Linked DNA regions of Mus musculus. The protein of the gene in region 2 interacts with the protein of the main gene of each other region in a pairwise test. Links are inferred from orthologs where the notes say so. Each region holds a gene or a part of one and is shown on either strand. Other genes may lie near its edges.

Region 1 (2,397 bases), on a different chromosome or scaffold from region 2:
TCAGACTCAAAGGATGTGTGTACCTTCTCTATTACTTAATGCTCCAGAGTCCTTAAAGAGGGGACATGGTGTTAAATTCTGCAATCGTTATTCCCTGGGAGACAGATCACAGTGAGTTTCATCTACACTAACACAGAATAACTGTGAAAGTTTCTCCTGTTCTGTTTTACTTAGAGAAAGGCAGGTGATAGTGAGATAGAAGAGGGATGCCAAACAATGTATCCTTGACATGAGGGATGCCAGTCTCATAAAAACCCTCCTTGGCTGTCTTACTCCAGTCCAGCTTCCATGCCAAAATAAATTCTCAACACAGGAAAAGCTCAGAGAAGCAACTCTTTTCAGGATAGTAACCAACCTCTTACCAATGTATCACACAAGATCAAAGACTATTTGCCTCTTCACAACTCCTTAGGCTAAGTGATTAAAATTAAACCTGCTTCCCTCCCCCAGTGAATGTATCAGAAAATATGCACATACCAAGAAAGGAAACTCCACTCAAGAAATGAAATGTTATGCAAGCTCAGACAAATTTATTGAGAATTTGACAGACACATCCACAACTTCACCATAACAGGGAATCATGAGAGTCTTGAAATATTCCAAAGCAATACGTGCCACATGGGTTGCCAAGCTTCTGAAAAAGTCCTAAAGAAAGAGCATCCAGGAAAGGCAGAGTAAGGCATCATCTAGATTTTCAGTTCCTTTGCTTGAGACTCAGTTGTAAGATCTGAAAAACAGCTTCTTGGAAGAGGTTGATGAAGAAAGGAAGATGAAGGGTGGTGAGGCTGGAACCTGGAGGTGTCACAAAGCCTTCATGAAGAGATGGAACTGTGCCTGGGGGATCACAGCAAATCAGTAGAGAGCAAATGGCCAGTATCTTCTGTAAGCCCCGCAGCCATTGTAGCCATAGCCAAGGCCATAGCCAACTGGAGAGTAGGTGCTACCATAGCCACAGCCAACACTGTACCCCAGAGGGTAGCCATAGCTGCCCCAGTAGCATCCTGGGAAGACAGAGCCCTCAGCGCCGGTGTAGTACATGATGTCAGGAGTGGAAGGCTTAGGTAGGAGGGAAGTGAGTGTGATGGATTCTGTAGTCTCAGACCATCTTTATATACCCCGACTGGGGGGTGTGGCTTAAGAAAACACAAGGCCCTCATTTTCATTCTTGACACCAATTTGCACTACACAAAGCTCGTTAATTTGTTGTGCTCTTGCCTAAGAGTCTATGAAAAAGCTCTTTGTGATATAATGCAAGGAGACGATTCCATCAAACAAGTTATGTGCCTTCCAAAATGGGTTATTACAGGGACTTCAAAAGCGCTTGGTCTTACAGACCCTATATATAATTTCAGTTATCAGGCTTTGTAACGCCAAGAAAGAGTCTAGTGTTGTTAGCTTTAATGCAGTCATCTCCTGCTCTGAATTTATACAACCAGGTTTAGAATTCAGTAGATATGTGTAGGACACTTTAAGTCAAATAATAAGCTATGAGTTTGTCTCCAAATCAGTATCTCTTACCATTTACTGGATTAAAGAATTCTCTCTTCTTCTTCTTCTTCTTCTTCTTCTTCTTCCTCCTCCTCCTCTTCCTCCTCTTCCTCCTCCTCCTCCTCCTCCTCCTCCTCCTCCTCCTCCTTCTTCTTCTTCTTCTTCTTCTTCTTCTTCTTCTTCTGTGTGTAAGATGCTCACCACAGACCTTCCCCCATCTATAGCTAATCTGTTCAGGAAACTAAACTGTGTGTAAAAGTTAATTGGATAGACACCATCAGAATCATATCTAGTAGTACATGTCTATACCACCTCTGCAATTAAAAATCTGTAAAATAAAAGTATAATTTGTTGATTAATCATAATTCTAAATGTCACACTGGTGTGATTTGTTGATCCAATACACTATTTCAGGTAAATATTTAAAGTAGCAACATGGCAAAAACAACAAAAACTAATGGAAAATTTTATCCTAAAATGAAGATGACTTTTCTATTGAATCAAGTAAGAGCATTTTATCTGAAAAAATATGATGATTTTTATGAAGTGTCAAATGATAATATAAACTCACAGACTTTTTAAAACAGTCATAAACTAAACGTCTTTTGAATTTCAAGTAATTGTTAGATGCTAGAAATTGTAAAAATGAGTGAGAAGTGGTAACTACATTGGAAATAATGAAGTTTATACATTTCATTTTTAGAATGATTATTTACCCTAGAATAGGGAGCCTAGACCAATCTCCTTTCAGTGGAGATTTAGTCCACAAATAGGAATTGGAGGAAGATTAGATTTATCAAAACTGTCTTGGGCCATATATGATCTGGCAAATCATTTCCCTAATACCTGCATGCAGACTTCCCTTCATGGAACTTTATGTATGATTTACAACAGTACCACATGATGAGG
Region 2 (2,636 bases):
ACTCATCTGTATGTGTTATCTTTCTAAGGACTTAATGGAAGTTCTACAGTTCTCAAAACTATTCAGGAGTTGGCAATGAGGACAACCCAGGTTTGTCCCAGACAAGCATCACTGGAAACACATGAGAAATAAGTGGGTTTGTTCTCAATTCTGGCAAGGGCCACAATCTCCCAGATCCCTGTGTATAATATAGATGGAGCCAAGAAAGACCTGGCATTCAATCCCATCTGTAAAGCTCTTTTCTTTTTTTTACCCTTGAGACAGGGTTTCTCTGGGTAGACTAGGCTGGCCTCTAACTCACAGATCGGCCTGCCTCTGCCCCGTGAGTACTGGATTACAGTTGTGAGTCCAGGATCATCTCTAGTGGAACCCAGGAGAGCAGTCAAGCCTAGCCTGACACACCTACATTTACTTCAAAGACGTATTGAAGAAACAGCAATGGGAGCACTAGCTGGTTTCTGGGTGGGATGTTAAAGACCTGCCATATAAAGGAAGCCATCTGAGCACATGCTAAGTAAAGAATGCTGGCGTGAGGTGTAATGCAACTTCATCACTTTATTCAAATCTTCAAAATAGTCTTTATTCTACATTTTTAGTATAAAAAATCCACAAGTTAAGTGCACCACAGTGTAGAGAGACATACAACGCTGAACTTCCATAACAGTCGATGGTACAGTCAAACATCACATGTACAGAACACAAGATTTAGATGAACTGAAATAGCAGATAAAATAAAATCCAATCTCGGAAAACAAATCAAAATATTAAGGATCCCTGAAATATTAATCCTAATGAGATCTCACTGGACTCAAGTCATGTCATAGTGAGGCATTCACGTGACCCTACTAACCTACCTCAGGAAACTCCTGGGAGCCTGAGTGGCTACATGAGACACTCAGGAAGTGATAGCTAGTTTTTGATCTAAAACTCCCTTAGACTTTAAAGCCAAGCTTTTGATATGCATCTTCTCCCCTGCCTGTCATCTTTAAATTTTCCTAGGACAGTTTGCACTGAGAACTGTTGTTTAAGTTCAGGTTTCTGGCACCACAGCTAGTCTGGGTTCATGGTGATGCAGAGATGGTTTATGAGGCGGGTCCGAAGGGTACCCTTCACCTTGCCTGGAGATATACAAAACCTGAAGAAATGGAGTCTGTGCTCAGGTCACACAGGGGGCTTCAGAGGATCCTTATGAAAGATGAGTTAAAAAATGTCAAGTGGGACAGGTGCAGGGAGACAAGGGGCTGAGTCTGGCTTTCGGTCCTGCACCACTGATTCTATGGATAGTGATGGGAGGGGGTGGAGGAGCAGGGACAGTGGACAGGCTGGGCAGAGGATGGGAAGGAAAAGGCAGACAGCTAATGCATTTCATTTACCAAGTAAGATAAATCAAAAACTTAAGGAGATTAAAGACCAATCAGAATAATTTGGCAACTTTAATTCTTAGGAAGATCAAAGTTCCCTCCAAACCTAATTTGATGTTTTATTACTAGAAGCAAAGACCAGCATGGCACAGCATCACTCCAGAGGAATTAAGGAAGAGCCTTGGGCTGCTTCACTCACATTCATTTGAAGAATGGATACCTCCTTACCTCAGAATGCTTTAGGGAGGGGCTGCTACCCTTACATGGTTCCTTATTAAATTTGAAAAGTGCCTCAAAAGTTTGGACACCAGAAAGACACCCCAAAAACATGTGTCTAAACTGCAACTTCAGGTTAATATGACTAAAGCAGTTACATTGTGAGAAGTGCTGAAGGTATGTGATGTCTTCCCCGGCACAGGAGTGGCCATGGCTCCTCACCAAATGGTGTAGCCACCATCTGAGCCACCCATGAAGAAGTTTCCCTTGCGCTGAGTTACAAGGACGTTGGCTCCCTGCATGACTGCGAGCTGAGCAGCGTTGGGAGGGCATCCAGGAGGTGGAGGCTAGAAGGAAAGAACAAGGTACAGTGGGCACAGGGAAAGAACACAGGAAGCAGATGCTGCGTAAGAAGATGGCAATGTGCCAATCGGTAACTTTTTCTTTTTTTTTTTTTTTTGCAGGCAGTGGGATAGGTCCACCCAGGGTCTGAGTAACTCTCACTTGACTGGTTCATGCTATGTAGCCCTGACTGACATTAAACTCAAAGGAAGTCTGCTGCCTCAACCTCCCCACTGTTAAGATTATCGAGTGTACTACAGTACCAAGCAACCAGCATTTTAAGGAGCTAAGTTTGCAACAGTTTGTTCTAGAGCATGCCTACTCTCTCTGAATCCAGGACATAAACAGGAAAGGAAATCTGTCATTCACCCAGAGTGTTCTAGCTCTAAGATGTAGCCTGTAAATCCAGATCCCATCCTTCTCAGGGAGAGCCACGCCCACCCCACAGGATCTCTTGTGAATGTGGGGTTTTATTTACCAGGGAGGGGGAGAGCCCTTTGTACAAGATAAGCAAATGCTCTACTAGTGGGCTACATCTTCAGCAACCCTAGGTTTTTAACATACAACATTGTTAAAAGCCAATAATGATACCATTCTAGTCACCTCACTCTAGAATGACTCCTAAGAAGATGCCCTTTGCTAGAACCTTGTGGGCTACAAACCCCATACACAGTGTCACTGAGCAGGAGGACCTGGAAAATAAAACCTACTTACTAG
Region 3 (4,266 bases), on a different chromosome or scaffold from region 2:
GGCCAGTGAGGCACGCCTTTGATCCCCACTGTTGTTCTCTTCCACATTCAAGTTATTAACCTGTATAATTAGAGAGAAGAAAATTTCAGGGTCACTATTAATCCTGGGTCCTCCCAGTTGCTATCTTAGGAAGTACCTAGGAATCTTCACCTACACCTCACTAGCCACTGGTCACTTTGATTCTCTTTGTCTTTCAGACAGGCGTTTCATCTCCAAACCAGACAAAGGAAAAAACAAACAAACAAACAGAAAGTGGGACCTAGATTTCTCCTTTTCCTGTGTGACTACGGACAGTGCTTGGTTTCACCCTGAACTCGTTTCTTCCTGACTCTGTTCTCTCTAGAGAGTGAGGTACATCTTCAAGATCTAATTGATTCTGTGTGAGCCTGCCTAGCTTAAGACATGGTGTTTAATGTCAAAATGTAAGATGGCCTACACACATATTGCCTGTGTCCTTGTATCAACTCATCATCAGCCTGTGGACAACCTGGGCTCAGGAATAATAGTTACCTTAGCACCCCCTACAACTGTGCCAAAATACAGATAAATCCATGCCCTTTATTGTGTTTGGAGCCAAGGAAATTGGAAGAAAGGAGAGAGCCCAAAGCAAAGGGAAGCTAGCTGGGATCTCACCTTGCGGGTCCTCTTGCCCCGAATTATAGTCCGGGACTCCACGTTCTGAGTCTGGGAGCCATCTGCTGATGTCTGGGCTGCTGCACCATCAGCTTCAGAGATACCTGCGCTGGTCCCTACGTCAGCCATTTTGGCCTGATTTACATTCTGGGTCTGGGCATCAGCTCCAGGGACCTTAGTAGTGTCATTCCAAGCCTTAGCTGTCTTAGGCTGGTTGTTGGTCATCTCATTGGCACTGGGAGACTGAGGGAAATTGTAGGTGGTACCGGGGCCAGCCTTAGTGCTATTCTGACCCTTAAAGGCCATTTCAGACTTTTTAGCTGATTTGCCTGTGGGTGCTGCCTGGGAAAAGTCAGAGGCAGCATGTGGACCTTTAGGGGTGCCATTCTGTGACTTAAAGGCCGCCTTAGACTGATTCTTGGGCATCTCCTTGGCATTACGTGCCTGAGAGTAATCATTTGGCCCCTTTGTGGTGGCATTCTGGGCCTTAAAGCCTGTCTTAGGCCTGGCAGCAGCTGCTGAAACCTCAGTATCAGCCTTCTCATTGGCAGTTGGGGGCTGTGAACTCTGGGGACTAGCATTTGGCCCACTGGCAGCTGCTGTGGCCTGGCTGGTGGGCGGAGCCTCGGAGATCTGGATGGCTTCCATCAAGGTCTGCACAAGCAAGGCGCTGTCTTCAACAGAGGCCTCAGCCTGCAAACACAGGAGGGGCAACATTTCAATCTCTGAGCCTTACATGGCAGACCAGAGGAGGGGGGGGGCGCGGCGCAACGCAGCAGGGGAGCTGTAGACAGGCGTCACAGTACTCAGACGTGGGGGCAGAGGCGGGTCAAAGGGAGGCGGGGCGCGAACAAAATTTAATTAAGGGTAGAGGGGGCAGGGCAAGGTGAGGGACAGTCTGTGGCAGCAGGGGCTGGTGCGGAATGTGGTGCAAGCTCTGAGCCCCAAATGGGTTTAGAGACGGACTGGTTAGGCTTGAGGTGGGGAGCTCAAGACCCGAGGAGGGAGGAATCAAGGAGGATAAGCCGAGAGGGTGGAGGGGGAGTCTCGCGGCGTGGAGAAAGGGAGGGTGGAGGCGAGAGGTTGGGGGATGGGGCGACAGACTGCTCTACACGCGTCAGGGTTATGGAAAAAAAATGGTTCCTTACCCAACCCGCATTCTCTGGGCAGAATGCCCTGACTAACAGGGTCTCCCCTTTCTCTAAGCAGGGACCGATGGCTGAAAAGGGCCGCCCCTCCCCCCCATTCGATAAACGCTAGAAATCTGAGAGCCCGCGGTGTCTAGGCCGGAAGAAGGGCAAAATCAGATCCTGCCATTCGCGCGACCTAAGGGGCCGGGGGTGGGCGTAAACTGTCAGCAGGGGAAAAATGGGGGAATTGGGAGCGGGGTCCTCACCTGGAAGCCGCGGAGGCCTGCACCGCCGTCCGGTTTCTGAGCCATAGCTCTCGTCTCCCTGGCAAGAGCAGAGCCTAAGGGGGGGGGTGTGGGAGAGAGGAGCTGGGCATTACACTACAGAAGGAAAAGACATAGGACCGAATTCTGTGTGCGTGTGTGCTTTGATTCTGGGGGCGGGTGAGGTGCCGAGTCCGGGGGGAGAACCAGGCCTAAGCGGAGCGGGAAAAGTAACCGGTCGTCCCGCTAGACCATCTCCAATCTCAGACGCGGCCAGGGAAAAGCTTCAGCGCTGCCGTTTTGGAGTCAGAGAGGAGCTGTGGATGCGGTAGTTTACGGGGGCGGGGAGGGAGGGCGGCGAGCGGGGAGACACGGGCGTCCGAAAAGTTGAATTAAGGTTCTGAATTCAGAGGAACCATCTAACGGGATCAAGGTCGGGAAATAGGATTCGGGGAGGGAACTGGAGAAAAGATTCAGGGGGACGGACGGAGTTTCAAATTAGAAAAGGGTCGGGAGCAGGGTCTGAATCCGGGAGCAGGCAGAGCAGGGGGCTTCCGAATCCAGGGTGAAGGGACTGGGAGAAAAGAATGGCGGAAGGACGCCGCGCCAGGGGGGCAGATGCCCCGTCTGGGGGCGAACCTCACCTTGCCTCAGGGCCGAACCCCAATCCCTTCGCTGTTTCCTTCTTCGCGACTCAAGAGGATCGGGAATGGCTCTGTCCGGCTCTCGGCACCCGCACTCTCTCCGCGTCCAGGAGAAAATGCCAGCGCGGCAGCTCGGGCGACCCCGCCTCTCCGCCTAATATACCACCCACCGCCTCTGGACGCGCCGCGCATGCGCAGCAGATCACTGTCCAAATAAGAGTCCCGCTTGCTTTCCCAACAAAAGCTTCATCCCAGAGCCATTGTTGCGCATGTGCACTTGGAGGAGAGCCCGCCTCCTTGCCAGCACACTATCCCACCGCCAACCAGGTTGACAGTGGACAAAGGTTCCTCCTCCCCTTCTCCTTACGCATCCACTCCTTCAACAGATGCGCAGCGCCTTTCGGTCCCACCCCCTGGCCCGACACACCAGCCCCCTACCTTTCTCCGCAATGCGTCTATGCTCAGTCCCGCCCTTTTTCCCGAACTCTCTCTAGCCAGGTCCGCAGCTCCCGCCCACCCCCGTGTGCAGAGCCCCGTAGGTAGGCCCCCCGCGGGGGTCTCTTATTTCGAAACATGCTAGGCCTCTGCTGAGTTCACCCACTCTACGACGCAGAAACCTTAAAGGCCAGAAAAAAAAAAAAAACCATTGCAGAGATACCGGAGCAAGGGTCGCCCGGGGGGGGGGGGGATCTATAGGTTTCCTCTCACTGGACTCAGAAAATGAGCTTTTTCTCTCGCCCTTTTGGCAGTTTTTGCCCATCGAAACCCTTTTTGAGGGCTGGGTTAGAGAGGTGAGGGAAAGGCGTTGGGCTGTGGGGTCTGCCCTGGGGCTTGTTTTTCTTGCAGGCTGTTTTAGGGAGATGGATGGAGTGCAACATTCTCATTTAACACACCAGGTAGCTAATGCAGAAGCCCGGGGCATTGAGCTGGTACCACACAGAAAGGCCAGAACCTGCCCCAGCACCGCTGCGCAGGCTGGTAATCCCAGCACTCTGGGGACTCAGGGAAAGCCCTGAGTTCCAGGCCAGCTGTGCAACTCTGAGACTTGATCTAAAAGACAAACAAAACCATCCATGAGGGGCCTGGATTTTCCTGAGTGTAAAATCTAGTCTGAGAACAGGGGCACTCCTTCAACCTCTATTGGAATAACAAGCTGTCCTCTCCCCAATATTTGTTCCATGGGAATAAGGCTTGTGTTCTAGGAGGCCTGGCATGTGTGGGGACCCTTTAGGTTCGTTCTGTGCTCCTCTTAGTAGGCAGTCTCCAGGAGCGAGACCGCAGGCTTTCTTGGTGACTGCTGGAGCGGCCAGAGCATTCAGGTGTGTCTGCCTTGTTCTTGCAGAATGAAGCTGGCCTTGGCTTTAGAATTCCGGGAGGAGTGTCTGCCCTATCTGTCCCTCGCTGTGTGAGTCCCCTGAGATATAGTCACTACACTTTAGTGGACTTCTCTGAGCCTGGTTTACTCACTACTATCCAAAACAGGAATCCCGCAAAGAGGGTCGTGCCCAAGGACACACAGCCAGCTGTGCTTCCAGGACAGCTGGGGAAACAAACGCAGAAAGATGGCATACAGATGCGAAATGACTCAATCCAAAC

The links. The genes of interacting proteins can lie anywhere in the genome.
Region 1: the proteins of Dazap2 (region 2) and Krtap8-1 interact in binary tests that used the Homo sapiens proteins (3 or more experiments, as listed by UniProt). The two-hybrid records come from large-scale screens. The link is inferred for Mus musculus from reciprocal best matches to the Homo sapiens genes DAZAP2 and KRTAP8-1.
Region 3: the proteins of Dazap2 (region 2) and Maged1 interact in binary tests that used the Homo sapiens proteins (3 or more experiments, as listed by UniProt). The two-hybrid records come from large-scale screens. The link is inferred for Mus musculus from reciprocal best matches to the Homo sapiens genes DAZAP2 and MAGED1.

The regions. Positions count from the first base shown.
Region 1 is NC_000082.6:89,486,870-89,489,266, forward strand, and holds Krtap8-1 (keratin-associated protein 8-1), read right to left. Parts: upstream 1,084-2,397; 5' UTR 1,039-1,083; coding exon 853-1,038; 3' UTR 505-852; downstream 1-504. UniProt on the Homo sapiens protein: In the hair cortex, hair keratin intermediate filaments are embedded in an interfilamentous matrix, consisting of hair keratin-associated proteins (KRTAP), which are essential for the formation of a rigid and resistant hair shaft through their extensive disulfide bond cross-linking with abundant cysteine residues of hair keratins.
Region 2 is NC_000081.6:100,618,656-100,621,291, reverse strand, and holds the end of Dazap2 (DAZ-associated protein 2), read right to left. Parts: intron 1,925-2,636; coding exon 1,796-1,924; 3' UTR 531-1,795; downstream 1-530. UniProt on the Homo sapiens protein: In unstressed cells, promotes SIAH1-mediated polyubiquitination and degradation of the serine/threonine-protein kinase HIPK2, probably by acting as a loading factor that potentiates complex formation between HIPK2 and ubiquitin ligase SIAH1.
Region 3 is NC_000086.7:94,539,222-94,543,487, forward strand, and holds the start of Maged1 (melanoma-associated antigen D1), read right to left. Parts: upstream 2,805-4,266; 5' UTR 2,671-2,804; intron 2,104-2,670; 5' UTR 2,075-2,103; coding exon 2,030-2,074; intron 1,327-2,029; coding exon 634-1,326; intron 61-633; coding exon 1-60. UniProt on the Homo sapiens protein: Involved in the apoptotic response after nerve growth factor (NGF) binding in neuronal cells. Inhibits cell cycle progression, and facilitates NGFR-mediated apoptosis. May act as a regulator of the function of DLX family members.